4 linked regions of the Oryza sativa Japonica Group genome follow. The protein of the gene in region 1 interacts with the protein of each later gene in a pairwise test. Links are inferred from orthologs where the notes say so. Each region holds a gene or a part of one and is shown in the gene's direction. Other genes may lie near its edges.

What was found.
Region 2: the proteins of type 2 DNA topoisomerase 6 subunit B-like (region 1) and SPO11-1 interact in binary tests that used the Arabidopsis thaliana proteins (3 or more experiments, as listed by UniProt). The link is inferred for Oryza sativa Japonica Group from reciprocal best matches to the Arabidopsis thaliana genes AT1G60460 and ATSPO11-1.
Region 3: the proteins of type 2 DNA topoisomerase 6 subunit B-like (region 1) and OsSPO11B interact in binary tests that used the Arabidopsis thaliana proteins (3 or more experiments, as listed by UniProt). The link is inferred for Oryza sativa Japonica Group from reciprocal best matches to the Arabidopsis thaliana genes AT1G60460 and SPO11-2.
Region 4: the proteins of type 2 DNA topoisomerase 6 subunit B-like (region 1) and SPO11-3 interact in binary tests that used the Arabidopsis thaliana proteins (3 or more experiments, as listed by UniProt). The link is inferred for Oryza sativa Japonica Group from reciprocal best matches to the Arabidopsis thaliana genes AT1G60460 and RHL2.

Annotation. Positions count from the first base shown.
Region 1 is NC_089040.1:30,832,465-30,836,892, forward strand, and holds the end of type 2 DNA topoisomerase 6 subunit B-like, read left to right. Parts: intron 1-521; coding exon 522-715; intron 716-1,528; coding exon 1,529-1,670; intron 1,671-1,914; coding exon 1,915-2,108; intron 2,109-2,236; coding exon 2,237-2,360; intron 2,361-3,204; coding exon 3,205-3,504; 3' UTR 3,505-3,688; downstream 3,689-4,428. Other genes in the region: protein RER1A, read left to right, coding at 4,364-4,428.
Region 2 is NC_089037.1:31,891,373-31,895,822, forward strand, and holds the start of SPO11-1 (meiotic recombination protein SPO11-1), read left to right. Parts: upstream 1-1,474; 5' UTR 1,475-1,521; coding exon 1,522-1,621; intron 1,622-1,715; coding exon 1,716-1,827; intron 1,828-1,904; coding exon 1,905-1,981; intron 1,982-2,067; coding exon 2,068-2,169; intron 2,170-2,263; coding exon 2,264-2,337; coding exon of another isoform or gene 2,338-2,348; intron 2,349-2,571; coding exon 2,572-2,588; intron 2,589-2,877; coding exon 2,878-2,947; intron 2,948-3,034; coding exon 3,035-3,071; intron 3,072-3,546; coding exon 3,547-3,594; intron 3,595-3,686; coding exon 3,687-3,745; intron 3,746-3,834; coding exon 3,835-3,866; intron 3,867-3,943; coding exon 3,944-4,049; intron 4,050-4,440; coding exon 4,441-4,450. Other genes in the region: phytochrome C, read left to right, coding at 1-192, 751-988. UniProt on the Arabidopsis thaliana protein: Component of a topoisomerase 6 complex specifically required for meiotic recombination. Together with MTOPVIB, mediates DNA cleavage that forms the double-strand breaks (DSB) that initiate meiotic recombination.
Region 3 is NC_089042.1:3,348,049-3,352,590, reverse strand, and holds the start of OsSPO11B (meiotic recombination protein SPO11-2), read left to right. Parts: upstream 1-1,579; 5' UTR 1,580-1,653; coding exon 1,654-1,737; intron 1,738-1,827; coding exon 1,828-2,047; intron 2,048-2,477; coding exon 2,478-2,615; intron 2,616-2,706; coding exon 2,707-2,795; intron 2,796-2,901; coding exon 2,902-3,030; intron 3,031-3,115; coding exon 3,116-3,210; intron 3,211-3,361; coding exon 3,362-3,424; intron 3,425-3,511; coding exon 3,512-3,588; intron 3,589-3,658; coding exon 3,659-3,786; intron 3,787-4,228; coding exon 4,229-4,363; 3' UTR 4,364-4,542. UniProt on the Arabidopsis thaliana protein: Component of a topoisomerase 6 complex specifically required for meiotic recombination. Together with MTOPVIB, mediates DNA cleavage that forms the double-strand breaks (DSB) that initiate meiotic recombination.
Region 4 is NC_089037.1:9,846,163-9,850,501, forward strand, and holds SPO11-3 (topoisomerase 6 subunit A3), read left to right. Parts: upstream 1-1,534; 5' UTR 1,535-1,865; coding exon 1,866-3,194; 3' UTR 3,195-3,634; downstream 3,635-4,339. Other genes in the region: cysteine-rich receptor-like protein kinase 25, read left to right, coding at 275-424, 539-621; pentatricopeptide repeat-containing protein At5g02830, chloroplastic, read right to left, coding at 4,132-4,339. UniProt on the Arabidopsis thaliana protein: Component of the DNA topoisomerase VI involved in chromatin organization and progression of endoreduplication cycles. Relaxes both positive and negative superturns and exhibits a strong decatenase activity. Involved in cell-elongation processes.

The DNA of each region.
Region 1 (4,428 bases):
GTTTGATGTATTTCTATATGTGTTCCCGTTTTATATGGAGTCTCATACCTTTGTGCATGATGTGCAAAATGAAAATACATGTTCCTGTATTTATTTATTTACTTCTGAAAATTCACAAATACAAAAGTAACAAAACACGGTGTTCATTGGTCTATGCTACAGGGCAAAACAACTGAAAACCCTAATATTGGAGTTTCCTACAGATGCATTTGTTTGATAAGTTCTTAACAGCCATCTGATATCATATCACCAATTTGTCTGCCTGCATTTTCAGACCAACAATATTGTGTATCCTGAGATGTAATTAAAGGATATAAAACTGATGATCATGATTCATCCTCAGTACTTGGTTACATTCCATTCCTCCGAACATGTCTAATTTTACTTTGTGTTTGCATATGTCCAGTTTTAGTTGTTGCACAGTAAACAGGCCTAGAATTAGAAGCATCTATCTGCTTTTACTCTGTTTTTTCTTATTGTGACCTCTTAAATGGTTGTTTGATTTCTTTTGTACTACTCAGAATTTAGCATGTGAGCTCTTTGTTGCGCAAACAGACAGTGCTGGATCAGGAGACGTTTGTCTGTCACAAGATTCTGATGATGTCCATATTTCCATTACCACATCAAGTATTGACCGTCTAGTTTCTGGCCTTAAAGATTATGCACTCTCACATGCTAACACATCTGACAGGTGTGAAGCATGCTACATGAACAGGTAAACATTGCTTGCTGAGTTTAACTCTAGACATATTTGTTTATTTCTTTACTTTGCTATTGGAAATAGATTTATGATGTGTGTTATCTTTTGGATTTTGACTTTCAGTGGAAGCTTATCATTAGCAATTTAGCATCCATATTTAATCATTTTTCTGGAACTTGCACTTGAATCGCTAAACAACAGGTTTGAAGTTAATTTATGGGTGTTTTAGACTTTGTGTCACATAGGAAAAGTTGTCGCTCATGAAGCGGTAAATAAAATAATTGCAGTCACTGATTCTGAATGTAGTTATGAAAACTCACTTGTGCACACACGAAGGCTGGGGGAATAAGTCTTATCCCATCACATCTAATAAAATCTGAAATGTATTAATCAAATATGCACAATTGAGTGTATCAACATTATTTAATGTGAAGATATCAGATCCTGCCGCATTTGAGCTCTAGAATTGTATATATCAAGGCCTAATAGCTTTCTTTTGTTAAACAAAGTACCGATCTATCAGATGAACTGCTTCAGGTGGCCAACAGTGTCTGGTGCTATTCGCTAGATTTGAGTAATGTCTAATTGCCCCATTTTCCCATCACCCAAAGTCCCAAACCCATTCAGCATTTCAGTTCAACCTTTTTAGGCATGCTTGTGTATCCTACCTTTCGGTAGCCTGGTATGTAGTAGTTGAATTCAGTCATGTGCATACTAATGAATACCATATGTGTATCATCTATCTCTGCAATTGTACATTCCTCAAATAGCTTTGATTACATAGTTGATAGGGCTTGTATGTTTTGCTCTTCTGCCGTCTCACTTCAGAGATCGCCTGAAGATTGGAACTGGAACAGCAAAATATGTAGACAAAAGAAAAGCTAAAGGGCAACTTGTTGAAGTAGTGATAATGCTTGCACCTACTTCATCTGATTTGAGCTGTTGGATGACAAATTGTTCATCTACACAGGTTTGCACCATAGGCCTCTAAGTTACATAAACTAATTATGCAATTACATTAGCATACTTGTTCTTGTGATGTCTAACTGGTTATGGGTGTAGTATACAAGCAAGAGGGCCTCTTGTGTGGTATATTCTTGCTTGTATTTAGTAAGCTTATAAAAGTTATAACAGCATGGCGTCCAATGTTTATGCTGAAGGTGTGGTTCAAGTATGCTCACTGCTTCCACTCAATGGTGAATTGTCTATTGTAGGTTTTGCATTTTGTAGAGTTCATACCATGTCCAATCTCACAATCCTCCCTCAGTGCGCTGATGAGCATAGACTGGCAAAGCTACGGTTTCAAGTTTAAAGGGGGTTTCATTGATGACGATGGAAATGCTGAGCTTCAATGGGATAACATGGCATTTTCTCATGTCGATATTGCCATTCACACTTACCACGAAGGATATCCAGCTTTTGTTTTGTGCATGCTTTCTTTTTTCTAGTGATGGTGTCGCCTGTCTATTTGGCTGTGGATATCTCTGTTGGATTTCCCATCACTGTATTTGGCTATCCTTGACCTGCTGTAGCTACTGCTGTTGATGAATGGAAGAGCTCTCAACCTGAAAGGCATCTTCTAAGAAAGGCACTTAAGTCTGCATTGTTTGGATTGAAAGCAGACCATGCAGAAGACTTTCTCAGCTGCCATGGCCAGAAGGTTTGTGCCTTCTACACTTTGCTGTTAACCACGTAACTGGTGTGTTTGTTATTTCCATTCCTTACTTGTATGTATTTTCTGCCTGTTATAATTTATAACTCAAGAAAAACTATTGTTAGACATAAGGTAGTACTGAACCGACACCTGTTAGATTTAGTGCAACCTCAATGCAACACTTCTTAATCTGTGCCACCTGCCAACCTCGCAAAGTGACCACTTTCTGTATAGTTGCTCTTTTGGTCACACAAATTAGATTGACGTCATAATAAGCTTCATATTATAATTTCTGTAACTTATCATCAGAAATAATCACTCTGTTGGTTCCTACCTCAATGTGAATATCATCTTCACTTTCCTTGATACTTCTTTCCCTTGAAATATCAAGTGTGTGTCGGCTTTATACTACGAGGGGAAAACTGTATAGGGAAGAACTGGTGTGCCTACTGCCTAGTACACCCTAGCAAAATTACCACTCCCCTTAAATACCGAACAAAGACTAGACGGCAATATTGTTCAGCTTGGGAATGGGCTTTGTAAGTCTGTATGCCCTCAACTATTCTTGCTAGTTTTCATCAGGACACACATTGAATCTTAGTTTGGTGGCAAGCCACAAATGACATGGCCTAACATTTGCGTACTGTCAGTTCAATTACTACAAACTTGAAAAATGGATTAATCTGATATTCTAGAACAACTTTCATATAGAAAGTTTTCACACGAAACGCACCGTTTTACGGTTTGAAAAGCGTGCCATGAGTATCCAAAAGTTAATCCAACCTAAGGTAACTTGATGTAACTTGTTATTGCCTACAATTTGATGTAACTTGTTCTTTCCATAATTCAGGTTCGCGAGTATGTCCCTGATCTCGCAGAATCGATAGCTGGCTTAATCTTATCATCCAATGATCAAGAGTTCCAAGATGAGTGCATCGCTCTTCTCGGCCTAGGCTCAGATCAAGATCTCACAGAAGGGGCGGTTAGATCCTGCATCGGTGAGAAGATGAACCGTATCGTAGAGATGAATGACACCAAGGAGAACGTAGAGCACAACGCACCTTATCTGTTCGAGTGCGAGAGGTTCGATGAAGATTATAGCCTACTGGATGAAGACGACCCAGATGAGGATATGATTTTCGATTTCTAGCATTTCCAATTGTCTCGTAGCACTCCTAATCCAGAGATCTCCTATGCTGTGAGAGAGCTTTACTTTGACCAGAGAACTTTATAAACACTAACAAAGACTGCTCTCTGAGACTGTTTCCTGCCTCGTGTAAACAAAATTCAGACATTGTTACGTCAAAAATTCAGAAACTGCAAGTAATTGCCCATGTGCTGAGCATCTCTTTCTGTTCGTTCTCGTTCATGATAATATCTGCGTTCAATAACTCCATGAAGATTGTGTATACTATAAGCATTTTTAAAATAGTGCCAAGTCAAATATTTTTAATTGTGACTATTAATAGAAAAAAATAAAAAAAAATCATGTAAAATTAATATTAGTAGATTTATCATTAAACAAACTATCGTACTATACAATTATTTGTATTTAAAACATATTACTTTTATAGATATTGTTGGTTAAAGTAGCATCTCGAAAACCGTGTCGAAGTCCAAAAATACTTATATTTTAGAAAGGATGGATAGAGTATAACATTACAGACAAATTACATTATTTTTGTAGAAAATTCCACAAAATTTGAGTTGAATCCTTGCCTTCTTGATATCAGAAAGACGCGTGAGGGCGTGAGGCTGGATGCGTGTGGCCTCCTGACCTCGCGTCAGACTCAGAGCCCCATTTGCTTTTACAGAATGTGAAGCGTCCTCGTCTCGTCTAGTCCTCTCCTCCTCCTCCTCCTCCCTCCTCCTCCTCTCCGCTTTCGCTTTGACCAAACCCAAACCACGCGCAGCGCTCCCATCGCCCAGGGCAACGCCACGAAACCTAGCCCCACCGACTCGCCTCGCCTCGCCTCGGAATCCCCCAACACCAGAGCGCGGCGGCGACCATGGAGCCCTCCCCCGTCGGCGGCGGGTCCGCCTCCGGGTCGGTGGAGCGGTGGCGCGCGGAGGC
Region 2 (4,450 bases), on another chromosome or scaffold:
CCGTGATTGGCCTGCAGAAGTATCATGTATGCACCTCTGCGGGGACAATTTAAGGCTTCAACAAGTCCTAGCAGACTTCCTGGCATGCATGCTTCAATTTACACAGCCAGCTGAAGGGCCTATTGTGCTCCAAGTCATCCCCAGGATGGAAAATATTGGATCTGGAATGCAGATTGCTCATCTAGAGTTCAGGTAAGCCACCCATTTGCCTTGTGGAACTTATAGTGATGTTTCTTGAACTGCAAGTACAGCTTTACTGGTAATAGAACCAACTTAAACTTTGCATGCAATGACCTAATTTCCATTACTCCAACTCAACTTCTCTGGGGAGAAATCTGTTTGTTAACATGCGTTCAGTAAGTACTAGAGGCGCACTATTGAGTTCCAGACACCTTTATTCCTGCAGCTTGTGTTTACTGTCCATCTTATCAATAGAGGCAGGACACTCAGTAGTCACATAAAAACTGACGGTTCAAAATAGGCCTTCCATATTATCTCAACATAAACATAGCATAAACATAAAATGCAATATCGTAACATCTGAGTAATGACTATATAACCAATTCAATGATGCAACCCTTACAACTATTTAAGATAACGGATAACCCGGCCGACAACCCTTAAAACTGTGAGTAAAAGGAGATTGATTAGATGATGCGAAGCTTTAGATTGTTCGACGAGCTTGCTGGGGCACAACCCCACTTAACAGAAGCGTAATCTAACATCTGCCCAACGGTTGGCTCCATGCAGGCTTGTCCATCCAGCTCCGGGCGTTCCAGAGGCTCTGATACAAGAGATGTTCCGCCACAGCCCAGGTGCATCTCGAGAGGGCCTTGGCCTTTACATAAGCCAGAAGCTCGTGAAGACGATGAGCGGCACGGTTCAGTACCTCCGGGAATCAGAGAGCTCGTCGTTCATCGTCCTGGTAGAGTTCCCGGTCGCCCAGCTCAGCACCAAGAGGTGCAAGGCTTCCACGAGTAAATTCTGAACTTAGGGCTATGGCCAAAATTCTTGTGGGTGCTGTATTGTTGTTGTTGCTGCTGCTGCTATTAGCAGATCAGGCAGTCTGAGGAGTACGTTAGCTGAAGATGTATCAGATGTGTGTAGCTTGTGAAAGTGAAGGTAGTGGTTGGATAGATGTATTTGTCACGTTGATGTCTGGAGAGCTAGTGAGCGAGCTACTAGGTGTTAGTGTAATTTAACCGGCAAATGTATGAACGAATTATGAATAAAATCTTCACTTGTGTTGTCATGAATAAAATCTTCACTTGTGCTGTCATTATTTCCGAAATTATTCATCAAATTCGAAAAAAAAAGAAGTGAACTATTTATATATTTTATCGGACAAATACACAAAAATCTTAGAATTATATCGAGTTGTGTGTGAATTAGATTGCGAATAGGCCCTTGGTAAAAATGAAAAAAAATATGGGGGTTTTCAGTTTTTACAAGCCCATTTGGTCAATACTGGGCTAGCCGTTGTTGGCCCGACCGCCGGAGGCTCACTCGCAGCGGTCGATCATGGCGGGGAGGGAGAAGAGGCGGCGGGTGGCGGCGCTCGACGGCGAAGAGCGGCGGCGGCGGCAGGAGGAAGCGGCGACCCTCCTCCACAGGATCAGAGGTGCACTCCCCCTCCCTCTCGTGATCAATCGCTTAAAAAACTTCTGAATCCTTCATCAACCGAAGTAAACACGCGTCCCTCGTTTTTTGCGCAGGGTTGGTGCGCTGGGTCGTCGCCGAGGTCGCCGCCGGCCGCTCCCCGACCGTCGCGCTCCACCGCTACCAGAACTACTGCTCCTCCGCCTCCGCCGCCGCCGCGTCCCCATGGTCGGTTTCCGCGTCTCGCCCTACCCTACCATCTCATCGGCCGTTTCAAATTCTCACCCCGCTGTATGCGCTTGCAGCGCCTGCAGCTACGACGTCCCCGTGGGCACAGATGTACTCTCGCTCCTCCACCGGGGCTCCCACGCCTCCCGGCTCAGTACGCGTCGTTGATTTTTGTCTCAACCTGCGTATCTACGATCATGTTAATGTTAATCAGTTTGGGATGTTTTAATCGATGTGCAGATGTGCTCCTCAGGGTTCTTCTCGTCGTGCAGCAACTCCTGCAGCAGAACAAGCACTGCTCCAAGAGGGACATCTACTACATGTACCCCTCCATATTCCAAGGTCTGCATAGGTTCCATGCCTCCGCTTCTGCTTTTGTTTCCTGCTGTGTGTGACAATTGGAATTCTGACACCTGTTTTTGTCTAAATACTGCAGAACAAGCGGTTGTTGACCGTGCAATCAATGATATATGCGTACTCTTCAAGTGCAGCCGGCACAATCTCAATGTGGTATGTACCGCGTAATCTGTGTTATTTTCCTTCAGAATCTTCAGTTTTGCTTCTAGAAGTTGCGTGTGCATCACATAATAAGATTCCACTTTCCAGCTGCTACATCCTTTGTGCCCACATTTCTGTCATTAATCACCTGGAGCCTTTTTTTTCTCAATGCTGTTTTACATCTTGAATTCATGTGTATGTACTGTCATAACTGACTGGAATGTGTGCTACCTTGGCTGCTTGCAGGTTCCTGTGGCAAAAGGGTAGGAACTCTGTCAACTATCATAGAGTTGGAGTGTCTGAAGATATGTTTAACTCATTCTACTGTCCTATTGATTGTCCATGCCAATACTTAATAAGATAACTTCTAACCCCTTATCTTCCAAGCACTTGGTCTGCTTAAAACAAAATCTGGATGTAAATAGTGAGATGCTTCTCTTTTAGCAAGGGCTTATAGAGCACTGTGAAGCTACCATTACAGTGCTATGCTCATATATTCTTCACCTATTCATTTCCCCTGTTAAAAACTCATCAATGTCTTTATTATTCCAGCTTGGTGATGGGCTGGATTAGATTTTTAGAGGGAGAAAAGGAAGTCTATTGTGTAACGAATGTCAATGCTGTAAGTTCTATGAGTTTCCTTTAATCACTGTAATATGTTTCTTTCTTTTTATTGATATGGTTTGATTTTTGCCTTCTTCAAATGCAGGCCTTCTCTATCCCAGTTAGCATCGAAGCAATAAAAGGTTGTTCAGAAATTTAAAGATCTAAAATTCAGTATTTATGTTACTGTTAATCTGCACTGAAAATAATTCCTTTACAATTTGCTGACATGGATTGCGTGAGGGGTTGGACCATAATCTCAATTATTCAGAATTAGCCACCATCCTTTGTTTTGAGAGAATCCACTTTGATATATTCTGAATCGAATAGCTAGGATTGATCTCTTAGCAAGGTGCTGTTCATTAGACTAAAGAATAAAGTCAGTGCTTAGTATCTTTACCCGTCTTGATTTAAGATATGCCAGAAAAAGACTGGACAACAAGTGAACCCACAGTTTATTCTTCATTTTCCTTACAAATATGCGGTTGATTATACTTATATCTTTTACTCACTTTATGTTACAGATTTCCTCTCTTGTTATCTGTGAACTTCAGTGTTATCCCTGATGCCTGAATTATATCTCAAGGAAATTAAGCTATCTTAGGTTTTCTCTTGTAGATGTTGTTAGTGTTGCGGACTACATACTTATTGTCGAGAAGGAGACAGGTATGAGGCTTAAAGATTCCTCATGTGCATGTGATACTTGTACTCTTCCAGTTCCAGCCTTCCTACAGTTCGCTTCTGTACTCTCCTTGCAGTGTTTCAACGTTTGGCTAATGACAAGTTCTGTGAAAGGAATCGCTGCATTGTGATTACAGTACTTACTAACTGCTGAATCTGGTGTTATACACAAAATATCTTCTTGCATTTATTCTTATCTAGTTTGATGTTGTTCTGTCTGCTCAGGGAAGAGGCTACCCAGATATTCCAACAAGAAGGCATATACTCTTTGTTATACTTTTCTCTTTTATTTTTCTGAATTGATATTTCAAATGTAAATACTTTATTTTTCCAGATTCTTGCGCTACCTTGTTGAACAGCTGCATTTGCCAGTTTACTGTTTGGTGGATGCAGACCCTTATGGTTTCGACATTCTGGCTACCTACAAATTTGGTTCACTGGTGGGTCATGATTTATCTAATTAGCTGTTTGCTTTGTATTTGCTATTATGCACTATCTGAGCATACCTGTTAATTAAAAATCACATATAACCACTTTATGCAAATGACTACTACACTTTCCTTATCAGTAGCTCCCAATAGCTGGATTGACCTTTATGCATTACATTTTTGTCCAGTATCAAGGCACATTTGAATCAAACAGTATGCCTTCAGTTTGTTTGGCAGCTCTAAGCCCTTTTAGCATGTCTTGTTTTCACGATATTCTGTCCCATTTTGCTGGTAGATTTGGACCTTGCAAGTTTATTTAATTTTCCTTGAAAGCTTGGTGTATTTATTTGTGTTAACTAACTACCTTCTGCAATGCGCTTGTGTAATTCTCATTCTATTTAAGCAATTGGCAT
Region 3 (4,542 bases), on another chromosome or scaffold:
GATCTACGTGTGGTTGGCCGGGAGAAGTTTGTGAAGGCCGGATCTCGCCTCCGCAAAGGAAAGAGATACCCCTTAGTGGAAGGAGTGCTTAGTGCAACCTCTTGAGGAAAATGTTAGCAAAGACCCGGCTCTTAGTGAGCTCTTCAACGGAGAGTAGAATCCCCTTAAGGATTTGAACTCCGGGAACAACTTCGTGAACTTCATCATTGGTGATCTCCCTTCATCCTCCTTTTAGCTTTGCTTAATTGTGCCGCTATAGATCTAGTCGCTATTTGTGCTTTACTCTTGTTTGTGTGATAGATCTACTTGTTGTGCTTCCTTGGTGGATCAGACAGTCTGATCCAACATCAGACTATCTGATATTTTCGGATAGTCTGACTGTGGATCAGACTTTCCGACCTTATATCAGTTTTAGCTTCCGTATAAAGTTTTAAATTAGCCTATTCACCCCCCCTCTAGGCCTAATTGACCCTTTCAGAACTAATCTCTCCGACCAGCAAAACGGAGCGATTTATTAGTGCATGATTAATTAAGTATTAGCTAATATTTTTTAAATGAATTAATATGAATTTTTAAAGTAACTTTCACATAATCTTTTTTTTTCAAAAAAAAACACACTGCTTAATAGTTTAGAAAGCGTGTGTGCGGAAAATGAGAGGAGTGAGTTGGGGAAGAAGGGGGAAGAATACAACCTTAATGACCTCGTCAGCTCAATGACATCAAAAATCACTTCCCAATAATATGTTTCGAATTTATTTAAAGTACAACTTTTGAGTGGTAATTCTTATACTCAGCTACCCTTTCGAATAATTCACACAGAATATTATTCATTTTCAAACTTTAACTACTCATTCTTTCAAAACAAATTGTAAACACTAAAATAGATGGCATATTTGTTAAAGTGTATGGCGTCTGAAATATAACCATAAAATCCCCGTTATTTGTAATATAACTTTTTAGCAATTATTTAAAAATAGTTATAGCCAGTGTTGGCATTATTTAAAAACGGAGGGGAAAAAAAACTATGTATGGCAAGTCCTTTACTCGCTACCCTCGGCCTTGATCACTAACTTCCATTCTTTTGGTTAGATTATGGTTGTTGCACTATGCTTCTATAAATATTTTCAATGGATGAAATATTACTATTAAAATATTAATGCTATTACACTTTTTATACAAATACTTATAACTAAACCTTCAGTCCTTCCCAGAAGCTTACATTATTAGTTCCTTTTAAAAGGTCACCACAATTTCCTTTTTCTTATAAGAGGAAATCACCATAATTTCATATGGGGACTTGTTTGGATCCTCTAGTTTGCACTGCACAATGAGTACACACTGGTACAAGTCATTAAAGTTGAGGGTTAAAAATAACCAAATCTACTGGGGATAAAATGGCCGATTACAAAATATGAGGACCAAAGCTAAACCATTTTGTCTTTATCCTCCTTTATATTGGTCCGGCCCACCATCTACCTACAAAGCCCATGTATATTACAGCCCATCATTTCTAGGCCCCGCCCGCTACAAGTCTACAACGAGGTGGCGTCTCTCCTCTTTTCCGCCTCCCCAACGGGAAAGCGGAAACCTGGGCGAGTTGTCCGTTGGCGCCGCCGCCGGCGAGCTCGCGCACGGCCGCCGCGGCAGTACGGGATGGCGGAGGCGGGAGTGGCGGCCGCCTCGCTCTTCGGCGCCGACCGCCGCCTCTGCTCCGCCGACATCCTCCCTCCCGCCGAGGTCAGCCGCTCCTCCTCCTCTTCTCCCCCCCTCCCCTCCGCTTCGACCGAGCCGCGGCAAAGCTGACGTCACGCGGTCGAATCCCGGCAGGTGCGGGCGAGGATCGAGGTGGCGGTGCTCAACTTCCTCGCGGCGCTCACCGACCCGGCCGCACCGGCCATCTCCGCCCTCCCGCTGATCAGCCGGGGCGCCGCCAACCGCGGCCTGCGGCGCGCGCTGCTGCGCGACGACGTCTCGTCGGTGTACCTCTCCTACGCCTCCTGCAAGAGATCCCTCACGAGGGCCAACGACGCCAAGGCATTCGTTAGAGGTTGCCTCTTGATGATCTCTTCCATCTTATTTTTAAAAAGTAAATTTCATATAACCATAGTCTCAGTTACACAAATCCACGAGGATTTTGACAAAACCACGCTATCGATCATTTTGACTTTAATCTACCGTACATTTAAGTTCTGTGCAATTAAATCTCAAATTTATGAGTTCATATGAATGTGACATCCATGTAAATTTTGACGTGGGAGTGTTAAATTGGTTAACGACGTGGTTTTGTGAAGCTTTTAAGAGCATAATACCCGGGGTTATTTGCAACGTGTCAAAATTTCTATGGTTTTGTACAACTTGGACTATAATAGGTGTGGTTTTGTGAAATTTACTCTGTTTTTTGAAACGATGATATTTTCCATCTTCAACTTCAGCCAAAAAAAGTGTGTTTGATTCGTTCTCATTTGCTCTTGAGACAGTGTGGAAGGTGATGGAGATGTGCTACAAGATTTTGGGGGAGGGGAAGCTGGTCACCCTGAGGGAGCTGTTCTACACGCTCCTCTCTGAATCGCCCACCTACTTCACCTGCCAGCGGCATGTCAACCAGACTGTTCAAGGTCCACGCATTTCTGAATTCTGACTCCATTTTTTTTTTGTCGGTTGCTCTAACTTGGTGTCTCATAATGTTTGTGCCGTGTTCTTGCGCAGATGTCGTCTCGTTGCTCCGGTGTACGAGGCAGAGCCTGGGGATCATGGCGTCGAGTAGAGGGGCACTGATTGGGCGGCTTGTGGTGCAGGTGTGCCTCATCCCATGCTATGATGAGTGGAACATGTGTTGCATATTGATTGCATCTCTTGTTTATCTTGCAGCAGCAGCCTGAACCTGTGTTTAAATTGTCCTAGGGGCCGGAGGAAGAACATGTTGACTGCTCCATTCTTGGACCTTCTGGGCATGCGATCACTGGAGATCTCAATGTATTGAGCAAATTAATCTTTTCTTCAGATGCGCGGTATATCATTGTAGTGGAGAAGGTACTCTCTTTGCTTGTGCAATCTAGTGGTATTGTATTGCCCCCTCTTAGTTACTTCCAGCTGATCGCTCGCTGGTTTGATATAGGATGCCATATTTCAGAGGCTGGCTGAAGATCGCATATATAGTCACCTTCCGTGTATCCTGATTACTGCAAAAGGATATCCTGATCTTGCCACAAGGTTCTGTGCCTTAAATGTGCATTACTCTTTTCTTATCTAAATTTGTCCAGCTTATGTGATAGAGAATACACTCAATGTGACCATGATATTGTCAACATTATTAGGTTATCTTGTATACTTATACTATTTGCTATTCAATGTTCTGGAACAGGTTTATCTTGCATCGACTGAGCCAGACTTATCCGAACATGCCGATTTTCGCATTAGTAGACTGGTTTGGTCCTTCCAAGTGCTGATGTATAGCTGACTTTCTCTTTATATTTCAGGTGAAGTTAGTTTTCTTTTTTTGATCATTTTTCAGGAACCCAGCAGGGCTTGCTATACTATGCACTTACAAGTATGGAAGCATTTCAATGGGTTTGGAATCATACAGATATGGTACTTCCTTTGAGTGATCGATGTTTGATCATGCCAAATTTTCGAAAAAAATTAATGTTGCTTTTTACAGCTTGCAATGTAAAATGGCTTGGCCTAAGAGGAGATGATCTGCAGCTTATACCTCAGAGCGCATATCAAGAACTGAAGCCACGTGATCTGCAGATTGCCAAAAGCTTGCTGTCATCTAAGTTTCTGCAGGTGAGTCTGCTAACCCTCAACTTTTGGACTATGTAGAAGTATCTGGAACATAGAATTAAAACATGGATACAACTGTGCAAAATGGTTCAATCACAATGCAACCTGATACCTAGTATATATGTTCTGTCCATGCATCAAGTAGCACCAAACTTCTTTGGTCAAGTTTCAATATGCATCAAAAGGTTTGGTCACATGAGAAATTGAGATCATGTTTCAGCAAAATGTCCTTGAGGACTGCTGCAATGGAATTATCTAGCCATTCTGAGATCTTGTTACATGCCAATACTGTCTGGCCTTCTTATAGGCAGTGTTTACCCCAGTGGGTGAAAAAATGTACTGTTCTTGTCATTACAGGAACGATGGGAGTCCTTAGTTTCTGATCATGTTGCCTTCTGAATTGGAAACATGCAATATTGTAATGATGATGTTGTGTTGGCTGCAGGACAAGCACAGAGCTGAGCTGACACTGATGTTGGAGACAGGCAAGCGTGCCGAGATCGAAGCTCTCTACTCACATGGGTTTGATTTCCTGGGGAAATATGTTGCAAGGAAGATTGTACAGGGTGATTACATTTGACAGTGCATTGCTGCCTGCCTCATGGTTTCTCTGGTTTTACTGAGAACTGAAATTTTGAGCTGATTCCATCAGCCCTGGCCCTGTCCAGTTTTCTTCAAAAATGACTTGTATCTTTGAAGAATGTTGCTGTTGTTACTGCACGTCCCCTGCGTGAGTATGCTGTATGCAGAATACTTGAA
Region 4 (4,339 bases), on another chromosome or scaffold:
TGGAGTGTTATATCACATGTTAATACACATTCTCTATTTTTTTTAAATTTTTTCTTAACCATTTAAGTGACATGCAAAGAATGATTTCCCGTTCTTCTAACTCGTTGTTCGTCATTTGTTCCAAGTTTAGGTTTGTGTTCATAGATACATTTAAATTTGAATCTTCACAGTTTATACAAAATTAGGAGAAACAATGGGAAAAAAAAGAAAAAGAAGTTACAATAATACTCCTATACGACAAGAACCTGTCGATTTTGTTTATCAATGGCTGCAGGCAATTTGACCGCAGCAGACATCGTGAGTGCGACTGCCTTCGTCATAGTGATGATCTTCCTGGTCAATTTATTAGTTTGTTTGATGACAGACGCCTTGAATAATTACTGGATTCGTTCTGCCAAGGAAGAAGAAGCATCACCACCAGCTGGCAAGTTCTCTCTCCTGTTTACTATTATTTTTCCTGTTTAGTCTAGTAACAAATTAACTAATTGCTGGTTGATTGTTTTGATCGTAAAATATGTGTTGCAAATTGACAATGCAGGTCATGTACGAGGAAATGTTGCTGCTGTGAAGGCAGCGCAGATCGTGCCAACTCAGTACGCAGATCAGAGGATTGCTGTCTGAGTTCTATACGCCGGCTAGTGTAGAAGCTTGGCCACTGCATTGGCCATTAATTTCCTGGGTGTTATATATGTGTCATGTGAACCCACTCTACCTAAGTATTTACAGCTAGATATATAGCTTGATCTGGCTAAATTGGCTCAGTGGCCAATTAATTAAGTGTGTACTCTTTATTGTCTCGTCCGAACACAACTACTTGTATGTCCAGTTGAAAACAGTACGTGGCCATCGTGCCTTGCACCAAGGTATATATTGTTGGGTATTTGGTTTTCTCTCCACGCTTGTATATATTGGAGTTATATCACAAGCTAGTGTGTATCTCACCTTGCAAATTTGATGTTATCTGAAGCCACAGAATTTGAAATAACAACAATGCAACTATATGAGGCATTTCATAAGAAAAAGCTGCTCTTATTAAAATTTATTCATTCCCCATAGAATAATCCACAAATATTACATATATACAGCTGTGCTTTTGATATGTTTTCTGTGAGATATGTATTTGCCAATTATCCCCATATCTCTTTGAGCGTGTGCCATGACGCACATTCGCATGTGCGTGAGCGTGGCACTAATGTGTAGCTGTATGTATATCCGTGTCTTCCGTGTAATTGAGAAAAAAAATAAATCAACTTATTTTTAAAAGGGTCAACACACCATCCCCATATCCATGTTTTTGAAAATCTTTGGTGGACTTTCTTAATGTTTTTTCACAGCGATTTAAGTTTGTAAAATTGTGCCATGTCTTCCCTAAAAAAAAAATCCCTCAAAAAAAATTGTGCCATGTCAATGAAACGCTGACCGAGTCATCAGATATGGCTTATGTGCCTCATTGCTTGCCAAAGATTTATTATAAACTGTATGATAACAAAATAATTTGTGTATAAAAATTTTATATATGGGTTCTTAGCAACTTAAAAATCCATATAAAATAAAGTACGTTAAAAATATCTTAAAATTAACTTTAAAATAATGTTTGAAAATTCAAAATTTAGCTTCTAACACTTTTTAGGTGTACCGATGGGCTCAGAAGTTTCGGCTCACCTCACCACTTCACCAACCTATCTGGCCCGCTCACTACCGGCACAATCCTTCTCTTCCGGACTCTCCCCAACCACGCCGCAGCAACACGCGCCCAGACTCTAGTCGAGTTCAGCACTTCAGCCCCGCCGCCGTCTCCGCCGCTCAAAGCGCCCAAACCAAAATCCCCTAGATTTCCCCACGCCCCCGCCTCCAAATCTCTCGACATGTCGGAGAAGAAGCGCCGCGGCGGGGCAGGCGCGGGGGCCGCGTCGGGCTCCGCCTCCAAGAAGCCGCGGGTCTCCACGGCGGCGTCGTACGCCGAGTCGCTCCGCTCGAAGCTCCGCCCCGACGCCTCCATCCTCGCCACCCTCCGCTCCCTGGCCTCCGCCTGCTCCAAATCCAAGCCCGCGGGGTCGTCGTCGTCGTCGTCGTCCGCCTCGAAGGCGCTCGCAGCCGAGGACGACCCGGCCGCCAGCTACATCGTGGTGGCCGACCAGGACTCCGCCTCCGTCACCTCCCGCATCAACCGCCTCGTGCTCGCCGCGGCGCGCAGCATCCTGTCCGGCCGGGGCTTCTCCTTCGCGGTGCCCTCCCGCGCCGCCTCCAACCAGGTCTACCTCCCGGACCTCGACCGCATCGTGCTCGTCCGCCGCGAGTCCGCCAGGCCCTTCGCCAACGTCGCCACCGCGCGGAAGGCCACCATCACCGCGCGCGTCCTCTCCTTGGTCCACGCCGTCCTCCGCAGGGGGATCCACGTCACCAAGCGTGACCTCTTCTACACCGACGTCAAGCTCTTCGGCGACCAGGCGCAGTCCGACGCCGTCCTCGACGACGTCTCCTGTATGCTCGGCTGCACCCGCTCCTCCCTCCACGTCGTCGCGTCCGAGAAGGGCGTCGTCGTCGGGCGCCTCACCTTCGCCGACGACGGCGACCGGATCGACTGCACGCGCATGGGCGTCGGCGGGAAGGCCATCCCGCCCAACATCGACAGGGTCTCAGGCATCGAGAGCGACGCTCTCTTCATCTTGCTGGTGGAGAAGGACGCCGCGTTCATGCGTCTCGCCGAGGACCGGTTCTACAACCGCTTCCCGTGCATCATCTTGACGGCGAAGGGGCAGCCGGATGTCGCCACACGGCTGTTCTTGCGGCGGCTTAAGGTGGAGCTGAAGCTGCCGGTGCTGGCATTGGTGGACTCCGACCCATATGGGCTGAAGATCTTGTCAGTGTACATGTGTGGTTCCAAGAACATGTCATATGACAGTGCCAACCTGACAACACCGGATATCAAGTGGCTCGGAGTGCGGCCAAGCGATCTGGACAAGTATCGGGTGCCGGAGCAGTGCCGGCTTCCGATGACTGATCACGATATCAAGGTGGGGAAGGAGCTGCTTGAGGAGGACTTTGTGAAGCAGAATGAAGGATGGGTGAAGGAGCTGGAGACGATGTTGCGGACGAGGCAGAAGGCTGAGATACAGGCTCTCAGTTCATTTGGTTTCCAGTATCTCACTGAGGTCTATCTACCTCTCAAGCTGCAGCAACAGGACTGGATTTGAGGACCCTTTCTATGCTAGATGAATAGGTGAATTTTCATGCATTTATTTGACTACTGCGCTGTGCACTAGATTTATTTATTTAAAATAAGGTATTTTTGAGAATCAGTATTCCCATGGGCCATGGCTAGTCGAAGTCAAAAGGTAGCTCCAAAATGTTCAGTCAAAATGCATGGTTAACTAATTTCTATGTTAGATTAGGTTCTTTATGTTAGGTTCTTTAGGAAGTATTGCACACCCCTGACTGAGAGTTTGTAGGATCAAATTGATAAGGGTGACCAAGATTGCCTCGTAGTACCGTCAGATGTGGAAATCTTCTTCTAGCATTATGTATTTGAACAGCAGCTGCTGTGTGTATTCACTAATTTTTAAGAACATGGAAATGCTTACTTCAGCATGTATTCAGAGCAGGTATAGTGACAGGAAATTCAAATGTTACTGTGATATTACTCATGTATCCTGAGCATGTATTCAAAACAATGTATTCCAGCATTTATGTGCCAACTCCATGTTTGGATCAATGTAGAATTGGAGCTGTTCACATGTGTAACTGAGCACATCATGGCATGTTTTTAAGAGGCACAACAATACAGCCATGGGCATCTTGGACATTTGTTTTGCAATCAGGTTTCAAATCTTGAGCGAACAAACTTGTTACAAATCTATATTAGGCAATGGTGCTCAAAATCCACAGACAGTGGAGTATTTCACTGTACTCGGTCAGCATGTTTTTCAGTTTCCATGGAATTGCGGGGATTGCAAGTTTCCAGCAATAACCTAATAACTTTAATTCTGATGTTTTACCGTATCTGGATGGCCGTCCACAAATTCCTTCTTGTGAAACCGTGTTGGGTTGATGTCACTGAGTAGCACCAGCCAACCTGTACATCTGTATACACTACCTTATCTTAGGATGACTCTGCAAAAGGTTGAGGAACTGTCACTGCACAGTCCTCACAGCTTTCCTCTTCAACCAATGATTCAGAGAGTTGATCGGGATCTTTATCATCCCCTGCGGTCTCCTGGAAAAATGTTTAGAAGCTAGATCTAAATGACTCCTAGAACGAGCTGGAACTGTGGGTTTGGACGAAGCCGGGCGACTTCCAGGTCCAATTAAAACCTCAAGACCCAACTCATCCGTCAGAACA